Arabidopsis thaliana: one gene and its partners. The protein of the gene in region 1 interacts with the protein of each later gene in a pairwise test. Each region holds a gene or a part of one and is shown in the gene's direction. Other genes may lie near its edges.

Evidence for each region.
Region 2: the proteins of AT3G66654 (region 1) and AT4G13530 interact in a protein complementation assay, tested with the Arabidopsis thaliana proteins (one large-scale study listed by BioGRID).
Region 3: the proteins of AT3G66654 (region 1) and AT5G47610 interact in a protein complementation assay, tested with the Arabidopsis thaliana proteins (one large-scale study listed by BioGRID).

What each region holds. Positions count from the first base shown.
Region 1 is NC_003074.8:2,086,396-2,094,243, forward strand, and holds AT3G66654 (Cyclophilin-like peptidyl-prolyl cis-trans isomerase family protein), read left to right. Parts: upstream 1-1,520; 5' UTR 1,521-1,788; exon of another isoform or gene 1,789-2,253; 5' UTR 2,254-2,298; coding exon 2,299-2,450; intron 2,451-2,566; coding exon 2,567-2,612; intron 2,613-2,736; coding exon 2,737-2,787; intron 2,788-2,960; coding exon 2,961-3,046; intron 3,047-3,343; coding exon 3,344-3,481; intron 3,482-3,578; coding exon 3,579-3,729; intron 3,730-3,815; coding exon 3,816-3,902; 3' UTR 3,903-4,146; downstream 4,147-7,848. Other genes in the region: AT3G66652 (fip1 motif-containing protein), read left to right, coding at 1-568, 814-1,161; AGL91 (AGAMOUS-like 91), read right to left, coding at 4,867-5,403. UniProt on the Arabidopsis thaliana protein: PPIases accelerate the folding of proteins. It catalyzes the cis-trans isomerization of proline imidic peptide bonds in oligopeptides.
Region 2 is NC_003075.7:7,863,288-7,871,550, forward strand, and holds AT4G13530 (uncharacterized protein), read left to right. Parts: upstream 1-3,040; 5' UTR 3,041-3,520; coding exon 3,521-4,207; intron 4,208-5,142; coding exon 5,143-5,268; 3' UTR 5,269-5,889; downstream 5,890-8,263. Other genes in the region: SMAP1 (small acidic protein 1), read left to right, coding at 1,175-1,363; AT4G13540 (golgin family A protein), read left to right, coding at 6,609-6,972, 7,049-7,317; AT4G13550 (putative triglyceride lipase), read right to left, coding at 7,964-8,044.
Region 3 is NC_003076.8:19,298,756-19,305,327, reverse strand, and holds AT5G47610 (RING/U-box superfamily protein), read left to right. Parts: upstream 1-3,210; 5' UTR 3,211-3,428; coding exon 3,429-3,929; 3' UTR 3,930-4,198; downstream 4,199-6,572. Other genes in the region: AT5G47620 (RNA-binding (RRM/RBD/RNP motifs) family protein), read left to right, coding at 1,050-1,271, 1,407-1,472, 1,610-2,669, 2,767-2,780; AT5G47600 (HSP20-like chaperones superfamily protein), read left to right, coding at 4,872-4,926, 5,043-5,383; AT5G47590 (Heat shock protein HSP20/alpha crystallin family), read left to right, coding at 6,229-6,283, 6,558-6,572.

The sequences.
Region 1 (7,848 bases):
TCATGATTGGCATCTTGATAGATTTGTCTCAGAGGAAGATGGTTATAAGTATAGAATCCAAGATGGTTGGTCCTCACCGTCTTTATCTTTGAGAGATTCTTGGTATACCAAAGAAGCAAAAGGTGATTTCCGGAGAGATGATACCAGAGACTTCAGAACACCTGAAGCATATGACAGCCAGAATAACCATTTTCATAAGGCTGCACCGAGAGATGGCTGGACGCAGAATCTTGGTCGTAGCCATAATGTGAGCGTAAAAGATAGACTACAGTATGATGCTGATTGGGTTGGTCCTGATAGAGGAAGATATAATATGGCAGATGACATGCAATGTTCAATGAGAGAAGTTTCTAATTCTGAGCATCCATCATATACTGATGAGATATTTGTCCGCGACATAAGAGTACCGACACATAATCGGATGGCGACCAAACAAAGGTTTGGATATTTACAGAGCCATATTCATGAAAATGATGAAAGACATCACAGATCCAAGAAGCTGAGAGGAGATGGGCATGCTTTCATCAAGCGTCAGGATCATGTTGACTTAGCTGGTAGGCAAGGAAAGGTAAAGATTGGGAAACTAAATCTACATGCTTTTAAACCTATATTTGAATGAAGTATAAACGCCTTTCAGTTATTTATATCCCTGGATTTTCTTTGTGTTATTTCTGACTGTTTTATCACTTTATATGGTCTGTCTTCTATACTTAGGTTTTATGTTGCTCACATCCGTATATTTAGACATCAGTTAGTGTACAATGAAGAACAAGACCCTTCTCATGTGATAGATATTTTGTGTGTGTGTTTCAGGTCTCTAACCAATCAAAAAAAAGATTCTCCAATGGCGGAGATACAATCGAGCAACAAGATGTTCAGAAACCAAGAAAGTTAATGGGCAAAAGCGAAGAGAAAGCTATGCAGAATCGAGATATAAATGACAAAGAAGAAGGCGAGATAATAGAAGAAGTGAAAGGTGTTGAAATAGACAATGAACGTATACAAGAGAGTCTGAAAAAGATGGAGAAACGGAGGGAGAGGTTCAAGGGAACCAAATTGGCGGTAGAAGCGACATTCAAATCTCAAACTGAACTGAGAGCTAAAGCCGATGTTACTAATCAACAGAGGCCAGTTAGAAAGAGGAGATGGTGTGCAAGTTAAAAAGATCATATTGGATGGCTTGTTTCAGGTTAACACAATAACGGTTTATTGATGGTAGGCTATATCTAAACCGATCAATTAAAAAGTGGCTAAGAAAATCACAAAACCGAACAATTGACTGTGACCTGGGTTTTTTTAAGTGATCTTGCTTGTGCATTTTTTTTTTCCCTTTTGTAAGTGTTTACGTAGAAAATTTGACTTTTTTACCAATGCTTATTTATATTTACAGTTTAGTATGTGTAATGCAAAATCAAATGATGCAGCGAAGGATCAAACCAGTGACAATTAGGGCGGAAACCGTATGATTAACGTGATAACCACTAGACCATAGTAAAATTACTTTCTTTTGAATTTAGAATCATTTTCTTGGGTCAAATAGATAACCAGATAATTTCATGAGAAAACCAGACCGAACTATACGATTTTTCAAAAATGATCAACTTTTGTATTTTTGTTTGTGGAATAATATTCGTCGGATATTGGTGAGGTGGACTCGTAGCCGTCGGATAAACACGCGGCTGATCTGAAGCGTCTCTGCAAAAGAGAAAAGAGAGCAGAGAATTCAAACCAGTTTCCATCGACGCAACGACCAATCTCCACGATTCCTCTCTTCTCTCTAACTTCCAGGTACGTTTTTCGAGAACCCAATGAAGCAATCAAAGTCCTTGGAATTCATTTGATTTTACTTTCAGGTCTTTGGATTTCTATAGAAAGAAAGATCTGTTTATTATTTGATTGGAACATGATAAGCTGCTCCGTTTCTCATATCCACTTTTGTTCAATTTATTTCAATTTGATCGATAATTGGAAAAGTACTGGATCTGGTGTATCGGAAGTTACCGGTCAAGCTATGTATGAACCCTTGTGATATTTTCACATGCGTTTATTCATTCAAATATGCTAGATTTTTAATCTGGTCAATACGTGATATCAGGGTTTCTTCAGTTGGGTAACAACTTAATCTTATTGCAGTTTTGATTTTACCAACTTGAAATTGAATTATAGTCTTACAGATACGAATTTGGAGTTTTTGTGTAGTGTATACTTGTTTTCTGGATTGCTTGTCACTTACTGTTGATTTATGGTTTGCAGAGACAAGTTGTATCCCTCGTTTGCTTTCTGCGAAACTAAGGTGCAATGGCGAAGATAAAACCGCAGGCTCTTCTAAATCAAAGCAAGAAGAAGAAGGGTCCAAGTCGCATAAGTATTTCCACTATTATTGTCTGTAATCTTGTAGTTGCTGTAGTCATATTATCGTTGGTCACAACCTATCGCCATTGGTCCCAAAGGTTTGTTTTCATCTTTGAATTGTTCCTTTTTCATTACTTCTGTTATAGTAGATTCTCCTTTTACTTTATGTGATTATCTATAAACTAAAAAGGATATCATTGGTTATATCTCCTAGGTCAAGAAACACAATTGAACATGAAACTCGGAGTCAGAGATTTGAGGTATTTTCTTGAGAGATTTTTTAATGTATAGCTTTTGAGTTTTGATCCTGATGAACTTCCGAGCACTTAGGTTTAGAGTTTAGGGTATTTACCATATGTGATCTGGCTTTGGTTTCTGCTTCAGGACACTAATACTGCGTCAGGGCAAAAAACTTACGATCTTCCTGGTTTTGCTGTAAGTTAATCTCCCTGTTTGCTTGCTTAAGTTTCTTGTTTTAATCCTTGTTCTTATTTCTCATCATGGTATTATGTTCTGTTCATCAGTTTTTGAAGTAAAAAAAATGTGATGTGTCTTATCTGAATATTGATTTTAATGATATCTTGCTTCTATTTTCCTATCTCATGTAGGATATAAACACATCAAAAGGACTTATAACTGTCGAACTCTTCAAAGAAGGTTCCCCTGAAGTTGTGGACAAGTTTCTAGATCTATGGTTAGTATTGGAATTCGTTTGTTTTCCTTTAAGTTAGATAGAAAAAGAACAGTAGAGTAATTTGATTAAGCTAGGTCATGACTTGTTCTTAAATAGGAGTATTACTTCTAGCTTGATAGGATTCAAGTAGCTTTAGTTTCTTGATTGACTGATTTTGATCCTTAAGTCCTCTTGTACTCTTCTTGGAATTTTTGTTTGGAACATGAAACCTCATTAAAGAGAAATGGGCTGAATCAGTCTGTGACGATATTGTAGCTTAATATAATAGTAGAAGTTGAACATTGAGTATTGTTGCAGTCAAAAAGATCACTTCAAGGGAATGCCGTTTCAGCGGGTTATAAAGAACTACTTGGTACAAGCTGGTCACTCACCGAGCTCTATACCTGTAGAAGAATGGACAGCTAAAGGAAAGCTCAGAGGTCGCCTTCACATTGGGTATAACTTGCTTGCTCTGCTTTTGGCTTTTAAGTGTCAATGTTTATCATCTCTCGCTGGTTTTAAAAAATAAAAAACTACATATGTTCTGTTACAGCCCAAAACATGAGGCATTCATGTTGGGAACACCAAAAAACAAAGGGAACAACAAGGATTTTGAGCTTCTGATCACAACGGCCCCAATCCCGGATCTGAATGATCAACTTATAGTGTTTGGAAGAGTCCTTAAGGGAGAGGATGTAGTACAGGTTTGATCCAACTAAGCACAGTCTATCAGCTTGAATGGTTTGTTTAATAGTTTCATGTGTTAAAAGATTAAATCATATTATTACAGGAGATCGAAGAAGTGGATACGGATGAGCATTTCCAACCGAAATCGCCAATAGGGATCACTGGTGTTGTACTGAAACTAGAGACATGAAATGAAAATTTCTCTTCCTTGCTTCCTCTGTAAATGAGGCTCACGCCAAATCCTTCTTCATACTCGCTCTTTTGTATAAATCCTCTTTTGAGGTTTTTTCTTTCTTTCTATTTTACAGTTTCTTGTTGTTTTGTAATTTTATTTGATTTTTCTCGAGGAAATAGAATCTTTGTTTAATTATGCTTCTGATACTTGAGCAAATACATGAACTGATTTTAGAGAATTTTATCCTGTTATGATAGAAAAACTTCTGTATTATACCCGTTAAGTACCATAAAACTATTAGAGAAAAAGAGAGGTCTTTTAAAATTTATATGAGAAGATATGGAGAACAATCTGAAAAACCAGAAACAAATCCTTTAAGAATTCTTAAAAATCTCTACAAGATTTCTTTTAAAAACTCTAAAATAATTCTTAAACAATTCTTAAGGAATTCTTAAATTATTCATAGAATACAATTACAAAAATACTGTATTTTTGTTTTAGGTAATATTTAATAATTTGGAATAAGATATATAGGACATACATCAAATTATGTATTTTGATACTATTTTGACTAAAACTTAAAAATGTTAAAAACACATTTATAAATATGTTAATTAGTTGGTGTACTCTTATGTATTTTTTTCTAATTAAAGATAAATATCTAGAGTGTGTAGACAAAATCTATAATAATATAAGAGAAAAAAAAACAAATAACGCTTTAAAATTTCATATCGTAATCATTATCAATTTTGTAGAGTAGGAGATATTGTTATAATTCATTGTTTTTGAAAAGAGAAAATCTTCATAGTAATATTTGGCAACCGAAAGTTACAAACCATCGATCATCAAGAGGAAGATACAATCAATAAACCTGTACCAACCATCTGCTACATCTCTACCATATAAATCTATAACGACTAATACAAAATGAAAGTTCCAAATCGGTGTTGTTACTGTTGCCTTCTCATTTGCATAACTGCTAATTATCATTAGAGAGAAACATGAGAGAAGACGAAGCCTGCATATGACTAATGTTACTTTGGATCCCACAGCTTATTTTCTTAATCTTAGCCTCAAATTCCTTGAGTTCCTCAAGCGTAAGCTCCTCAATGGGCTTATTGAACTTATCCTGTTCAGCAGATTCAAGCCACTTGTGAAGATCTTCACCATGTTTCTTCTCAGCTTCAGCTTCTTCAGTAATCGAGTTGAGGCGTTTACATATCTTCTTCTCCTGTCTAGCTCTATTGCCTCTACTATAGCCTGATGTTTCACAGCTATCTCCTTCTTCTTCTTCTTCGAATTCATTCTTAAACCGTTCTGCAATCACATCAAAATTCGGTTTCCCGAAGGAATACGGTTTGTTTCCTGGAGAAAAGACAACAATACCAACCTCCGCGTTGCACAGAGTCGCAAGCTCGCTCGCTTTCTTGAACAAACCCAGCCTACGTTTTGAGAAGGTAACTTGCTTCGTGTTTGTGTCTTGCACTTTCTCCATCTTAATCTTTCTCCTACCCATTTCTTTTTTTTTGTGTGAAATGTTTTGAGTGATTGTAATCTATGTTTGTGTATATAAGAAGAAGATTGTATTTCTTTATGTATTTATAGTAATGAATGTGGAGAAAGTTGTTATTGAACCTCATCATCATATATGTATATTTTTAGTAAACTTTTGTTTTTGCATATATATACATATTTAGTAACTCCACTTTGAAAATCTTGCATTACCTTATGAGAGCATTGAATATTTTCCATGTATTTAATCAATATTCATAGATATTTAACTATTATTAGTATTATCTTACTATTAGACCTCTTATTAAATGGTAGTTTGAATTACAAGGAGAACTTTACCAAGTTAATAAACAAAATTTCTTCTTTACCAAAATAGTTTATTTCCACCCAACAAACAATAATAGTAGTTTGACAAATAATAAACACATATTAAAAAAATATTAACTTCTATGTATTATAGTAATAATCTTACGTGTCATATTTTTTTTTTAAATAGTATTATTTCTGGGTATAATTAATCATAAACATCTATGTACATTTAAAATTAAACCATTATTTATATTCAATAAAAATATAATCTGCAATGCGTTTAACCCATTAAGCCTTTTTTTTTGTTAGGTATAATTAAATCGAAACTCTATAAGTCTCTAAATCTATTACGTGGGTCAATTGACTTTTTGCAAAATTAGTTAGACTTCTATATATAAAAGTTGACTCTTGTCCACTAAGACAATTGACACCTGTAAAATTTTTATGGTATTGAACCCAATTAAATTTATTTTAAGTAAGTATGTTATATATAATGAAGTCCATTAATATAAATTATCTTAAATATCTTAATACTTGTTTGTCCATATCCTAAAAAAGTAAAAACGGTTTGGCTTCTTCTTTTTCGTTATTTCTTTTATTTTAGATCGTAGAGCTTTAAAATTAGAATTTCAGTAAAAACAAATTATGACTCCGATGGAGTAATTTTCTGGCTCTTACAGAGAGAACAAGCGTGGACTATTAATTGAAAAGCACAGAACAACCGCTGCTTATCTGTTCCATAACACAAAACAAACAAATAGATGTTATAAATGAAATTCAATCAATGAAAATTAATCACTCTATCTGTTTCAAAATATTATTATATGTCTTAGATAAAAGCACAAAGTTCAAGAATCTAACTAATTTTTTTGTTATATTTTTTACATTAAAAACATAACTTAATATTTAATTATAGATAATCTAGCCAATGGTGAAATTTAATGTAGAATATACATAGTCACAAATTTGAATGAATTTAATTTTTGTCATAGAAATCTAAATGTTTTTCTAAAATATCTTATCATATAAAACAGAGGGAGTAAATACATTAAGTTTTCAAGCCAAAAAAAAAAAAGAAAAAAAAAACTTACAAGGAGGTAGATATCAATTATGTAGATCAAAGAATAAGCCGTCCAAAGTCCAGCGTTGATGAAACTAACTAACGACAGCCAAAACGGCATGTACTTGAAGGTCTTACTCTCCAGCATTTTTTTCTAATTGTTGCACGAATTACAAACAAAAAAAACTAATCAAAACCGCTAATTAATACTTAACCATCAATGAGAGTGAGAGTGAGAGTGAGAGTGAAAGCTTTACCTTGGCAAATGAAACATAGATACAAATGTTGAAAATGTTGCAAACAATCCCAATGAGTGTATACTTGGCGAATAAACTTTGAATTGCCCAAATAGTAATCACATAGAACGATGTCACAAAATCAAACACAGCCAGAAGACATAGATTAACATTTCTCTTCTGCACATCAACATCAACATCATCAAAATCAATATGCAGAATTAGACATATCTAAGTATAAAAGATGGACCTACACGTGATTCGTCTTCACAGCAGATCCAAAAGACAACCACAAAGATTACTTCGTTAACGAAACCAATACTATTACTAGTGGTGACGAGAATACTGTCCTTGTGAACAACAGGGAGACCATACAAAACCCACAAACTACATTGAATCAACAGCACTAAATGAGGAGCAATTTGAACTCCCTCCACTGATTTCTTCTTGCATGTTTGTATAACCGTTGGCCTGTATATATATATAATGAAAAATGCTTTCACTCTTGACTACAATAATCCTTCTTCTTTTTTTTTTGGTCAGAAAACAACAAATTACTTATATAAAAGTCTGAAAACAGTAATACTTATATAAATCTGAGGAGTAATGATCCTAGCTAGAAACCACTAAAACAAGACAGATTACATGCACTATATTTAAACCTTGAAAATATAGTTGACAAATTACTAGAGAAGAAATAATTTTAAAAAACGTTCGAAATAGAGAACATACGTAAACACAAACATACACAAAACGAATGTGAAAATAGAAAAGAAAAAGCAAGAGAAAGAAGAACAGGGATTATTACATATGTGAGAGCGAAATCAAAGTGGATAGAACATTC
Region 2 (8,263 bases), on another chromosome or scaffold:
CTCAGTTTTCTCGGACTTCCGTTGAAAGGCTTCCATCGCTAGGTTTTTTGTTGATTCGGTCTTTGCCGTTTGGTAGCTCGTTTCTTGTTCCTTAAGGTGTCTTTTAAGTTAATATTTAGAATCGGTTTATCACTTCATTGATTCCAAAAGAGTAATTTCTTTTGTTGATGTCGATGGACTGATTGTTCTTTGCTTCCATGTTTTTTATCCTTTTTTTGCCATGAGACCAAAATTGTAGGATTTACTTAATTGTATCTCCTAAACCTTTTTCATTTTTCAATGAAATATTTACATTCTTAGCAGAAAAAAAAAAAAAAAATTTGTAACAAATGGAAAACTAGCTCATTGGCAAACAAAAAGAGTAAAACCAGCCCATATTAAATATGACTAACACAACCATGTACAAATTAACTCGTTGCCCTTTCCGTAAAAGTGAAACAAATAGATTTATCTTCGTGATTAACGAGAGAGAATAATCGCATCCATCAATCGTATTTTACGACTTTCGATTGTGATAGTTTAATTTATTTCAATGTATGCAGAAACATATCAACTACTGAATTATATATATTAATTAACCATTTTGTAGTCAGAATTAACTGGGATTAAATCACCCAATCCTAAATTTGATTTTGACCTAACTAATGAAAATTTAATAGTAAAAAACTATTACTTTGATTTTACATTTTAACTTTGATAGTTTTTTCTAATTTTTATTAACTAGAAACCTAATTTTTTTTCGTCAACTAGAAAACTATTCTATCTTGATATTATTTTATAATTTTACAGACAACAGAATTATATATAAATAATTTGAGTTTTTTTTTGTAGCTTTTAAAATTGCATTAATCAAATTTGTTTAATAGAGGATATAAACATGGTATTAATAAAAAAAAATTCTAAAAATTCCTCTAGTTCCACTTTTCAGCCAATTCCTCAACTGATGTATCTTAAAAAAAAAAAAAAAAATCCACAGATTCAGCTAAAAATCACTACGAAAAATGAACGATTAAAATTAACATGGGCCACATCAATTGGGCCTAAGAAGATAAAGATGGGCCACAACATTTAGGCCTAAAAGAAAATGACCTCAACATCAAAACTTCGACAGTCAGTCACTGTAACATTTTAGATCTTTCCCGAAGAAGAAAACGAAGAAGAGACGAAGAGAGAAATGAGGCCGATGCAGCTGGATATGTTATCGGAGATGGATGATGCAGGTTCTTCGATGGCCATGGACGTTGATGACCTCGAAGCCATGGAGATACTCAACGAAGGAGGACTTGTCTCAGATAACAAGCTCGCCGACGCCGATTTCTTCAACAAATTCGATGATGATTTCGATGACACCGATATCAACTAAATCCGGTTAAGTTTCCTCTTTAAGATTTCAGTTTTTTTTCCTAAACTTGATGTAATTTGTGGAGAAACCTATGTAGTAAGTGTGTAATAAGTTCTGGGATTTTTATGTTTGTGGTATGTAACAATGTTTTTCTTCATTTGGATTACTAAAACATTTGATTTGTGTGTTATTGTGCTTTGTCTGATTGTTTTTTTTGGCTCAAATTTAGAATGTTTTTTTTTTCCTTGGTTCTGGAGATGATGATGTTTTTTGGAGATTGAAACCTAATTTTCTTTAGTGTTTTGGTATTTTAGTAACTGAAAATTAGAGTCTTTGTATGTGAAGAATGTTGTGAATTTGTATGTGAAGAATGTGAAAGTTATTGATATTGGCTTAAGATAGAAACTAATTGATTCATTTGGTACCATATTCCATTGTGATTGCTTGTAATTTCAACATCTGAGGTCTCTGAAATATGTGTTGATGTGTTTCATTGTGTTGATATTCATGTGACTCACCGGGTCTAGAGAAACTTCCCGGTGAGAGATGAAATCCTCATGTAAGCTGTAACTTTCCACTAGTGATTAAGTGAACTAGGGAACTCATACTGAAGCACATATTCCTACCAACAATTTAATGGCCTAAGAGAAATAGTCTCTTGTATCTTCCATGTAACTCAGATACATCAGTCAATGATTTATATGGATATGGTATCTTGTTCCATGTTGATTTCTTGTAAATTCACCATCTCGTGGTCTCTGAATGTGTGTTGTATTGTGGTATGTGGGAGGGGGTGTATAATTCCTGTCTTGTGGTATGTAGGAGGGGGTGTATAATTCCCCTGGCCAAGTTCTGTTGTTGCATCGTGTCATATTATATTCTCTGGGCCGGTTTTGAGATGGAAATAATGTGCTTGATGTTCAACTATGGTAGAAAGGAAAAGGAGGCTAAGCATAAAGATGTCACTTGTCACTTTGTCAGTCCCTAGCAGTCTTTGTTACTTGCCTTATAGTCGTATGTATGTAGTGTAGCCAAATTTCATGAGATTTCAACATTCGATAGCAATTCATTAGATATCGGTAACCTCTTTTCAGAATCTCTTACTAATAAAAAAAAAGTTATTTGAGGCCTCTCACACTACCCACCTCAGCCTTTTAACAAATGTGTTCTCAAGTTGCCACGTCATCAACTCTCTCAAAAACTCCCAAATCTCTGCAAGCCACCATCCATGAGCCTCTTAACTTTCTTCTCCTCCCTACCTCAACCTTTATAAAATCTCCACATCTTGGTTTAATGACTAAACTCTAAAATTTTGAGTTATAAAAAAGAATGTTTGTTAAACTATGATATTAACGCTAAACATTTATTGAAAAAAAAGTTGGGTTTCGATTAATATTAAATATTTCCTATGTTTCTTAGCAAAAATAAATAAATATTTTCTCTGTTTTTTTTGTTTGATTGTTAGAAAAAAACACACAAAAGTAAATATATTAAAGTTGATTTTAAATATATTATATTTTGTGTTTTACAATTTTCTATCACTTTAAACCAATAAAATTTAATTATTTTTATTAAAGTTTACAATTCATTAATAAAAACTAATAAATATTACATAAAAATTTTAAAAAATCAATTTTTTTGAAACAATTTTTTTTTTCTTCAAAATCAACAAAATAGAACCGAAGGAATATGAATTACGCGGATTACAATTAAATTATCAATTCATCGATCACCTAATTTGAACGAGAAAAAACAAGTAAAAAAACGAAAAGTAAAATAGTAAAAAGTAAAAATACATTCTATTGGATTTGGTTCGGTATCAATAAATTATGATGTTCTTCACAAAATGCATTTATATGACGTGTTTGCTTCCTCTCCCTCCAGTTTCAAGTTGAGCATATCTGATTAGCAAAAGCGGTTGAAGGTCCTCTACTTCTCGGCCCACCGTAACAACATACACTGTCAATCCATATAGTTATCATAAACCCACACGTCAACGAAACCACTCTTTTGACTTCATCCTCTATCCAATCACACCACGCCACGTTAACACCACGACCTAGTGTTTCTGTGATCTCCACACAGAGAAAGAAGCGTTTCGGTTCTGTTTTCGCCCCAACACAAAGACTCCTTTTGTTTCTTTTCCTCAATTGGATCGAAAAAACCCCTAACTTTGACATGGAAGGAGAGATTCAAGACTGGGAAATACTTCAGAGCTCGAGATCTACCACGGAAGATGACAATTCGAGGAGCTTGGAGGAGATTGATGATGGCACGCAAGGTATGATTAGGTTTGATCATTTCTCTCTTGAGAACCAGAGTGGTTTGTCTCGTTTGGAGGCAAACGATGAAGATGGGTCTGTTCAATCGGGTAGTCCAGGATGGATCGAACCTAGCTCCGATGTTCCTTATGGTCCGAAGCATTTTAGTGAGTTATGGTCTGATTCAAGCAGTGATCGGCTTGATGATCAGAGGTTAGTGGATGATGATGTGAATAACGAGATGGGTATAGAGAGAAACGAAGTGGGTATTGTTGAATATAGTGAAAGTATAGCTCAAGACATGGATTTGATAAGCTCTGATGAGAGAAAGGAAGAATCTTTACTTCATCCAGTGGAAGGAGAAGGAAACTCTGTTTCTATTGATCCTGGTGTTAAATCTGGTGGTGGAGGAGGAGAAGAGAAAGGGTTTGTGTGGTGGAAAATTCCAATAGAGGTGTTGAAGTATTGTGTGTTGAAAATTAATCCTATTTGGTCTTTGTCCATGGCTGCAGCATTTGTGGGTTTTGTTATGTTAGGGCGTAGATTGTACAATATGAAGAAGAAGACTCGTTCCTTGCAGCTTAAGGTTCTTTTGGATGATAAGGTAACTAGCTTGGTTTATTTGATTGTTTATTGTTCTTTGAGTATGTTGATTCATGAGTCATGTGGTTACTGTATGATCTTTTGGTGTGATATGAGCTCTGCTTAGTTCAACTTTTACTGCTTAGTTAGATGTTTTATTAGTGTCAATTGTTGTTTTGATGGGGAAAATGAGAAGATCAGATCATCCCCTTGTTTGTCCTGGGACCAGTTTCTTGTTGCTAAGTAGTTTAGATGCAACCAGCGACTCGAGGTCATAGTATTCACCAACAGGCATACACTCGTACCCATTTACACTATCTTGCTAAGGGTTTTTGATATAGCACCACTGCATCGGTTGAGTTCTTGATAGATACTTTTGGCATAGAATGTGTAGTTGGTGAGAGCAGTGTTAATAGTCGTTAGAATACCACCTGGGTGATCTATTTCTTTGTCCGTCCTCTCTGTTGTTTCATCTCCTATAATGCTTAAACAACATATTTTTTATTTTTACATTTTGAGTTTGCATGTTCTTTCTAATAGCTAAAGGATAGTTGAAAGATCTTTAGACTAGTTTTCAGTAGTTATTCTTTGTAGATTTTTCATGTTGGTAGCCAGAGATGGAAGTTACTATATATTACGAATCTTATCGTAAAATGTTTCTTTGAGGAATGGATAAAAGTAGTGGTAAAACCTGAAAGTTTAGTTTAACTGATCTTCCACTGGTACAAAGCCTCAGTAAGGACCCAAGTTTGAATCCTGCTTACGGTTGCATATAACTTGGCGGATCAAATATGTCTTTTGCTGCTGAAATTCACGTTCTTGCTTGACTTGTATTCATCTTTTTCACTCATGGCAATGAAGAACAAAAGTTCTAAGTATTTCAGAACACAATTCGGAAGATTTTTACACCATCTGATTCTTGTATTGTCTGTCTTTTGAATGAAATACTTTTTTCAGAAGGTGGCGAATCATGCTGCTCGGTGGAACGAAGCAATCTCGGTAGTGAAACGTGTGCCCATAATCCGGCCAGCACTTCCGTCATCAGTGGGTATGAACCAGTGGTCCATGATGAGTTTAAGGTGAAAATTAAGTGAATTTGAGGGCATAATAATGCATATATGTGAGATTATATGATTTGATGTGGTTGGTGCATGTATCATATGATTGTATTAAAAATGTTACAAAAACATACAAAAAGATGCTTGTAAGTTTGTACTGTGTGTGTATATATTGTTACTTGCTTGGTGGAATACAAATTGGATCAGAATCATAGTGCAGTTTTGGAAGGTTGCGGTCAGAATCTAACCTTGATAAGCTTCTGAGCTGGTCTTAGTAGGCAGTGTCGTAAAGAGATTGTACAAAGACAAAAGCCAATAACGGAATTTTGGTTGTTTATTTAGAAAGTACGACTCTTTAAGATATGAAAAGGGTTAAGACAAAAACCCAAATTAACAGGGAAGTTCACGTGAAGAGGGCAATGTTTCTGATTGATGTAGCCATGTAGGAGTCTATCTTTCACTTTATAGCTATCCTAAACTCTACGATGTCAATTGTGATTAGATATATGTCTCTTCTTCTTGTTTCTTTGTCTTCTTTCACTCTATTATTCGTTGACCATTGTACCACCAAAGTTTGGTATACTCACTTATCATACTTAAATCACAAGTGAGTATTGTAAGGAACTAAGGATCCAAAGCTAAAGCATACTCATGAAGTTTAACTATTGACGTTTAACGGAAATAAAGCAAACCAAAATTCGAACTTCAAGATAAATCTACCCATTGTCTTCACGTAACATACTCAAATTTTGGTTTGCTATGTTTGATTCGGTCTATAAAAACACAGACAATAACTTAAGACCTATGTAACAATTTCCTCCATGAGAAGAAGACAAATTAGACCAAAAGTTTGAGAGAAACCTATAAAACCTACAAATATTGGGAAGAAAAAATAGGAGTAAATAGGTATGGGTCCATGTTAATGATGCATGTGACAAACAATCAAAGCCCACACCATTAATTGGAGATTGAAGAAAAAACACTGCTTTTCATATTCTGTAACACCACTTCAATTCCTTTTTCTCTTGTTTCCTATTCAGTACTATGTCCTGAGAGTGCCCATAACTTCTTTTGTCTTTTTATCTCAGTTTCCATAAGAAATAATCAACTCAAGCCACAATGTGTGTTTGTGTGATTAGTTTTGTGATAAGACATTCCATAATTTTCCTATTGTGTGTTTAGGATAAGTGAAGATGCTTTTGGTTTGGACCATATTATATAAATAACATGTGTCTGCAATGCCGCAAAGTGGAGCTTTCTTCACTCACAATAATCATTTTTTTTTTTCATTGAATGAAACAAACAAGACATTCAAAATAGAACAAAAGTTCTACAGAGATAGAGAGAGAAAGAGAGCTTTTCTTCATGGGTGGTTCTACAAGCAAGGATGAGAGAAACAGTAGTAAGAGACGCATCAAGGTGAAAGCAAATGAACAGAGAAGGAGAGAAACAAGAAGAGAGCTTGATGAGAAAGAGAGAGTGATTTTGGCGTTGAAGATGGCAGAGACAGAGTGGAGGAAAGAGAGGAAGAGACTGAGAGAGGAAGTGAAGAGGCTGAGACAGAAGATGGAAGAGAAGGAAGAAGGAAAGGCGAAACAACACGAGTGGGAATGGGTCGTGGAACAGATGTGTTTAGAGAGAGCAGTGAGGGAAGAAGCTGTGGAGAGGTGGAAGCAGCTCTACTTTGCTATCAAGAATGAGCTTGATGATCTCATCCACACAACATATGGTAAGACCTTTCACAAATAATCTCATCTTTGATGTTTTGAGAAAGGAAGGTAATGAGTTTTTTTTTTCTTTTGTAGGAGAGGCACTGAGACAGAAACCGCAAGAAGAAGTTGCAAAGGCAGTGCAAGAACTCAGAAAGGAAGTTAAAGCTAGGGGAGAAACCATTGAGACACTGAAAGGGAGAATAAATTTGATGGAGAAACAACAAAATGGGAAGGAAAGAGAGATTGACTTACTGAGACAGAGTCTGCGTATCCTCGGCGGTAGCAGCGGGAAGAACAAGGCACTATCATCTACTACCAGAAACCTGACAGTATTCAAAACAAAATTCATCGGGTGTAAATAACTGTTTTAGTCATTTGAAGTTACTTTTCCACAAGGATTGCTGTATAAGTAGACTCAGTAAGCTTCAAGCAATAATAAGCCATTTCTTTCCTATCTCATGACGCTAAAGAAAGTTGTATATACTTCACAAGTAACATATCCAGCATCAAGAAAATCTAATGGAAAAGAAAAACGGTGAATGATCAGGGATTAAGATTGTTGTCTCCAAATTGATCTAAGATTATGTAGAAACTTAGTACGTAAAAATAAGAACTGCGTGCAAAGGTTCCAAAACAAACGAAAGCTTAAGGATTGAGATAACTTACTTCTCCCGCAGCTGTTCTCCTGAAAAGCTCACAGATGCAAATAATGCTGAAACTAGCCAACCGAGAGGCGAGGTCCGAGGTGTAACGGTCCCTGTTAGCCAAAAATAACATTCCCTGCAAGGTCTCCCTGAGCATGCAGTGAGAGTATAATGTTCAAATTTCATCTATACGCATTGTGATAAATTCCAACCATCTTGTCCCCTTTTGATACCATGTCTACGTTTAAGTTTACACGACTGAACCACAGATCACTATAAAATAATTACAATGGATGCTTGTCTCTTGTATATAGTATACAGTGTGAATCCTATACAGCTGAAGCGAGCCACTACATGCTCTCACTTAGCTCTCTCCCACTGATTGGATAGTAGTACTTTCAACGCCTTTCGGATCTTCAACAGTTTTGTAATATAACTTCACACTCTGAAAAGATTGACAACAAAAAATGATGCCAATGAGATATGGAAATTACTAGCAGTCTCAAACCAACACATGCTCCATCCAAAAAAGGGTTGGCGATGTTTAAATGTCACTATCCTGTGAGGGACTGAATCTTTCTAACTTTAAGTCACAGTGTAATTCTTGAAAACAAAAAGGAAAAATGCATGGAGTTATACGTTGTGTTATGACAACTTATCAATA
Region 3 (6,572 bases), on another chromosome or scaffold:
ACAAATTTGATTAGTTTATTTGAAAGCAAAATGAAGGGACATAATTAAAAAAAAAACTGTGGGATGGCAATCTTTATCGTCGTCATCAACCATTCCCCATGTTCCTGCCCACTTTGATTCCCCAAAAGCTCTAATTAGAGTTTCATGCCATTTTCATTTTAATCTTAAAATTTCATGCAATCAAATAATTGTCACATGTTGCATCTTTCATAATCATCTGATTAACGAACCATTTAAAAAACATAGACCTCTCTTCAAATTAAAGTTATGATGATCAACTAAAATCTAGAACTAGGAAGAAATCATGATCAACTTAAGCCAATTAGCCATTTTTTATTAACGATAGATTTTATTCTTTAACTTATGGGTAAAAAGGTGCACGCATTGGTTATTAATAAATTAATTACTTATTACAGAGAAGAAACGGAAGTGACGAAAATACCCTCGTCTCTTACAAGGATAGCCAAACATTGCCATATAAAAACAAAAACGTAAGAGAAAGTATTCTTTTTTGTGAGTGTTTTTTTTTCCATTTTCTGAAATTTGTGCTGAGCATTGCTTATTTGCTTCCATCCATTTTTGTTCCTTTTAATTCGATTTGGATTGCAGAAAAAGAAAAGAAAAGAAAAGACTAAAAATTTGGACGATAAGCAGAAAAGAGAGAGGAGGGCCTCTCGCCCTCTTATTAAAACCTTGCCTTCTCCAAATCTGAAGATTTCTCAATCCTAAAATCTTTTTTTTTTCCTCTTTCTCCGTTTCTTTATTTTCGGTATTACACACATACATAGATTCTCTGTCTTCTGGGTTTTTCATTCCTTCCTTCCTCCAAGCTTACACCTTTATTGATCATTTGTGTTTTTTTTTGTTTCTGCAGGAATCCAAGATCGTGGGTCGATCGGTTTTTACACAATCCGATCACGACCCATCTGCTCTTTTTCATCCTATTTTGCTTCCCTTGAGGTGTTTCTATCGATTCCATTCTCCTTCTCACTTAGATCGATATAGAATCTGGAACCAAAAACAAACCTTTTTTTGTTTGTTTGGCAGAAATGGAAATGGAATCATGTAAGCTCTTCATCGGTGGTATATCTTGGGAAACCAGTGAAGATCGTCTTCGTGACTATTTTCACAGTTTTGGTGAGGTTTTAGAGGCTGTTATTATGAAGGATCGTGCCACTGGCCGTGCTCGTGGCTTTGGTTTCGTTGTCTTTGCTGATCCTAATGTTGCTGAAAGAGTCGTCTTGCTTAAACATATCATTGATGGTAAAATTGTAAGTTTCCTCCTGCTATATACCAACATACATTGCTTCCAATTTCAACAATCTTCCTGCTTACTTGCTTCATTTTGAGGTTGCTGCTTCTCAAAGCAAAGCAAAGCTACTCACTTTTATTCCTTCCTGTTTTAGTTAGTAGACTCTATTGTTTACAATCAGCTTTGCCGCTCTGATAAATGCATATCTTTGTCAGAAGTTGTTCATTTCACACTCACAAATAAAAATGTAAAACTTGGATCGTTTCATATCCTCATGTGAAAGAAAGTGGTTCACAATGAATGAAAAACTGCTTTCTTTGAGTTGTGTCGTGTGTTGATTTTCTCCATGATATACAGGTTGAGGCAAAGAAGGCTGTTCCAAGAGATGATCACGTAGTATTTAATAAAAGTAACAGCAGCCTTCAGGGATCACCTGGCCCATCAAACTCCAAGAAGATCTTTGTGGGAGGTTTGGCATCATCCGTGACAGAGGCTGAGTTCAAAAAGTATTTTGCTCAGTTTGGGATGATCACTGATGTTGTGGTGATGTATGACCACAGAACCCAGCGGCCTAGAGGCTTTGGGTTCATTTCATATGACTCTGAGGAAGCTGTTGACAAAGTACTGCAGAAGACATTCCACGAACTCAATGGTAAGATGGTGGAGGTCAAACTGGCTGTTCCTAAGGATATGGCTCTCAACACAATGCGGAACCAAATGAATGTAAATAGCTTTGGCACTAGTAGAATCAGTTCATTACTGAATGAGTACACCCAGGGATTCAGCCCGAGTCCAATCTCTGGTTATGGAGTGAAACCTGAAGTTAGGTACAGTCCAGCAGTAGGTAATAGGGGAGGATTCTCACCGTTTGGACATGGATACGGAATCGAGCTGAATTTTGAGCCAAACCAGACTCAGAACTACGGTTCTGGTTCCAGTGGAGGCTTTGGACGACCCTTTAGCCCTGGATATGCTGCGAGTCTCGGCAGGTTCGGTAGCCAAATGGAGTCGGGAGGAGCTAGTGTTGGGAACGGTTCTGTCCTAAATGCAGCACCAAAGAACCATTTATGGGGAAATGGTGGTCTAGGTTACATGTCAAACTCTCCGATATCAAGAAGCAGCTTCAGTGGAAACTCTGGAATGTCTTCACTAGGCAGCATTGGTGACAACTGGGGAACAGTTGCACGTGCACGCAGTAGCTACCACGGTGAGAGAGGAGGTGTAGGATTAGAAGCAATGAGAGGAGTTCATGTTGGTGGTTACAGCAGCGGCTCAAGCATCTTGGAGGCAGACTCTCTGTACAGCGACTCGATGTGGCTTTCGCTGCCTGCAAAGGCAGAGGAAGGATTGGGAATGGGACCATTGGACTTCATGTCTAGAGGACCAGCTGGATACATCAACAGGCAACCAAACGGAGGTATGAATAATGAATGAATGAACGCCTTTTTTCTATCCGAGAATTCAAGCATTTGTAGAAAATCTGATGATATCATATGAAAATGGTGTTGTTGCAGGAATTGCAGCTTAGAGAAGTGACAAATCTATACCATGGAGATCAGATGATTGCAGAAGAGAGTTTTTAGAAGAGGAAAAAAGTTTATTAAAAAAAAAAAAATTATTGGTACCAAAAAGCTTAAAGCTTTTATTTACTTTTTACTATTTTGATTTGTTGTTATAGCTTTCTTTTCACCCTTTTTTCTAATTTGGGGTTTTGTTTCTTTTGTTTTTATCGTTAAAGAAAAAAGATGTAAACTTGAGTGATATAAAAAGAGACAAAGAAACAATGAAGTGTATTTTGTTCTTGTCTTTCTCTCTCTTTTATCATCTAAATCCATATATTGACAAATTCAAACATGAAAACGAATTAAAAAAAGAGCAATTTGCCTAGAATGTAGGCAACGTAGTGTGAGGACGACGTGTGGCAAACATGTGGATGATGATAAGCCACAGGACAAAGAAAGCAATCCCTCATCCATCGCAATAATATCCATTAATGTGAAGTGGACCAAAAGAGAGAGAAGCGAGTGTTACAGTCCTCAAAATAGAGACGAAACCATCCTAATCCTTCAAACTCTCTCACAGCTTCAAGACTCCACTGGAAGCGCCACTATTGTCCCTACACTCCTCTCCTTTATAAGGTCTCTTCTCACGAGGCTCTCTCTCAAACCATTAAAAGATGCGTTTGCTAGTAGCAGAAGCAGCTTCACCATTGTCCTCTGCTGCAACTCCAACATGTAACTCTCATACTTGCAGATGGAAGCCTTACTCAAACTCTACTGACTTCACAGCTAATGCATCAGTCCTTCTCATCCTTGTCATCTCTGCTCTCATTTGTGCTCTCTCTCTTTACGCTGCAATTCGTTGCTTTCTCCGACCAACCCTCGAGACTGAAGACGACCACAAGCCTGACCCTGAAGCAGCTGCTTCATCCACTCCAACAACTCCTACACTTGTCTACTCCTCCGACCTTGAACTCGCAGGAGCTGAAGCAGAGTGTGCCATTTGCTTGTCGGAATTTGAACAAGGAGAAAGCATTCAAGTGCTGGAGAAATGTCAGCATGGTTTCCATGTTAAGTGTATCCACAAATGGCTCTCTACTCGCTCCTCCTGTCCCACTTGCAGAACTTCTATCTTCTCACAACACTCTGAAACTCCTTCAAGCCACATCAATGCTTAGCTTCTTTTTTTAATCTTGTTTTTCCAAAAGCTTTAGAGTTGTATCATGTTTTGCTTGAGATTACCCTGTATCTGCTCTGTATTATTAGGTAACGTAGACCAACCAAAGTATTTACTTAAGTACTTGTATTGTATCAATCTAATTCTACATCGCCACACAATGAAACAGTGTTTTTTTTTGTTTTGAAACAAGAGTTCATTGTACTAGGAAAGTTTCTGGACCAATCTTCAGTAAGAATCAAATAAAACTCAGAGCAACTTAAATTATAATGTGTATGGAGGAGATTAGATGGAAGCTGAATAACTAACATATACTGCACCAAATCAAAAGCAGTTTTCGAATTTTAAAGGCTCAAACACTCATTGGGCCGATGTATGGGCCAAATACACAAGTAACTAACATATACATACTTGTGTTTGCTATGGTACCCAATGATTCATGTCATTTGTTTTCACAAACTTTTAACTCTTTTTTTTTCCTCTAAGCCGATTGAAACAAATTGGGTCCATTGCATAATTTACCTAAAGCTAAGCTGATATTGAATATTAGTTTCTTCCATCAAATGTCAATTGTTTATAATTCATCCCCCGACAAAACTAAATGGGCCGATTCTTAGGCCCATATTAGGTGGTCACTCCGGTTGTGCTAAAAATTGTTCAGAGAAGTCAAAGTCTCCAGATTGATGTCAATTGTCAACACTCTACAAGATCACTCCTTTCCATGGAGTTCAACTAGAAGAGCTTTTCGATCAATTTCACCAAATCAGAAACAATTTCGAATTTTTAACACTCCTTGGGCCGATTAATGGGCCAAATGATAGGTCACTCCAGGCCTTTCCCAAACCCTATAGTCCTCCTCGGCTATAAATAGCAAGTGGAGTAGAGCGACTTTGCTCACTCAGTTTCCTTCCAAAAGAAAGAGAAAGAGCATCGTTTTGAGCAAATGAGTAGGAACATGGAAGTTAACGCAGGCAGTTCCGGCGAAATTCCGTCTCCAAGTAAAGTTTTCATCTTTCACTGTCATTTCTTATAAAAATCAAACCTTTATAGTTTACACGTCAAATCTCTCTTTCTAATAACGAATTTGTGTTTGTTTTATCTTATGTATGTACAGTAAGGAACCGATTTCAGAAAAGTGGGAGTCAAGCGGTGTACGAGGTGACAGAGACGAAGAAATCTTGCGTGACGAGAGTCGACATGCCTGGTTGTCCCGAGTCAGATCTCACCTACTGGGTCGACGCCAACAACGTCCACTTCTTCGCCGACGAACCAGCAATGCCTGAGTACGAAAACGCCGGACGCAAATACGGAGGCTCCATGATTTTCAACCCTGAGGCTTACGACGTCAAGAAAACTAAAGTGAAGCTTATCAACGGAGTGCTCTGGATCACCGTCCCTAAGATCCCAGGCAAAAACGCTTCCATTAATGTCAAGGAGAGGATCCTCCATTACTGATTTAACAACACCTTGGTTTGTGTCTCGTAATGGTACTTGTGTCTAGCGTCTCTATCTATCTATGAACTTTGATGCAGCTACTGCTTTATGTTTATCATTTTGTGGTTTAGTTAAGAACGATCTTGCTTCTATATGTCGTGATCTCAATAAAGAAAAAGTTGTCAGCTTTCTTTGTTCTATTTAATCTTACATTAACCTAGCTATTCGATAAGACTATATAGATCTTTGCCATTATTAAACCGGATTACGAGTATGTAACCTGGACATGTTAATAGATATATGTTGTTGTAAGTAGGGATCAAACTTTTTAATAGCGTTGTCGTAATAATTGGATAAACACTAAACGACGGTTGAAACCTTATTTGATCTTTGATGAAAAAAAAAAAGATAATTGAGAGCTCATAATTTTTTTACTCTTGAAGATTGCTGACGTCAGCGTCGTCTTGTCAAAAATGTTTGAAAATTAATGAAGAGTGAAGAGTGTGGGTACGGTTTTACTTTTGCAGTCATTTTTGTCGTACATAATTACATATAAACGAAAGGAGTAAAAAAAGCGTGGGATAGCTCACAGAGCTGGTGACGTCAGCTTATTCTCTACCGTAAAAAAAATCAAAAGAGTAAAAGCAAGTTTTTTTTCTTACCGAGAGAGAGAGTCGGTGACGTAGGCAAGACCAGTCAAACTTATGCTATGAAGGTTAAAAAAAAGCCAGCTGGAGCGTGCCACGTCACAGTCTGTACCACAAGATGGTGCTTCGTCTATATTTATCAACAGGAGAACAAAACGCCATTTTTACGCAACCTACCTTGAACTAGAAGAGAAGAGAGAGCAAAAAACAAAGAGAGAGATGGGTGAGACAAAGGCAGATTTCAGGGACATGTCAAGAATTCCTAAAGTTCGAGGTATCTCTTTTCACGAGCTACTAGATTTCCCAAGAACAACATTGTTCTAATTTTTCTCGGAAAATATGTGTTTTTTCTAGAAAGTTGTCTCAATTTGTTTACTTGTGAAGTGTTAACATGAACTTGGTACAAAGATTTACAGTTTTTTTACTGTGCATGATTCATGAAAATGAAGCAGATCGAGTTAGTTCCATCTTTGATAAGTGTCTTCCTTTGTTCTCTGTATACTTTTCTTCATCAAGTTTTGATCTTTGTTTACTTATTATTATTACAGAGGGGTTCTACGCGA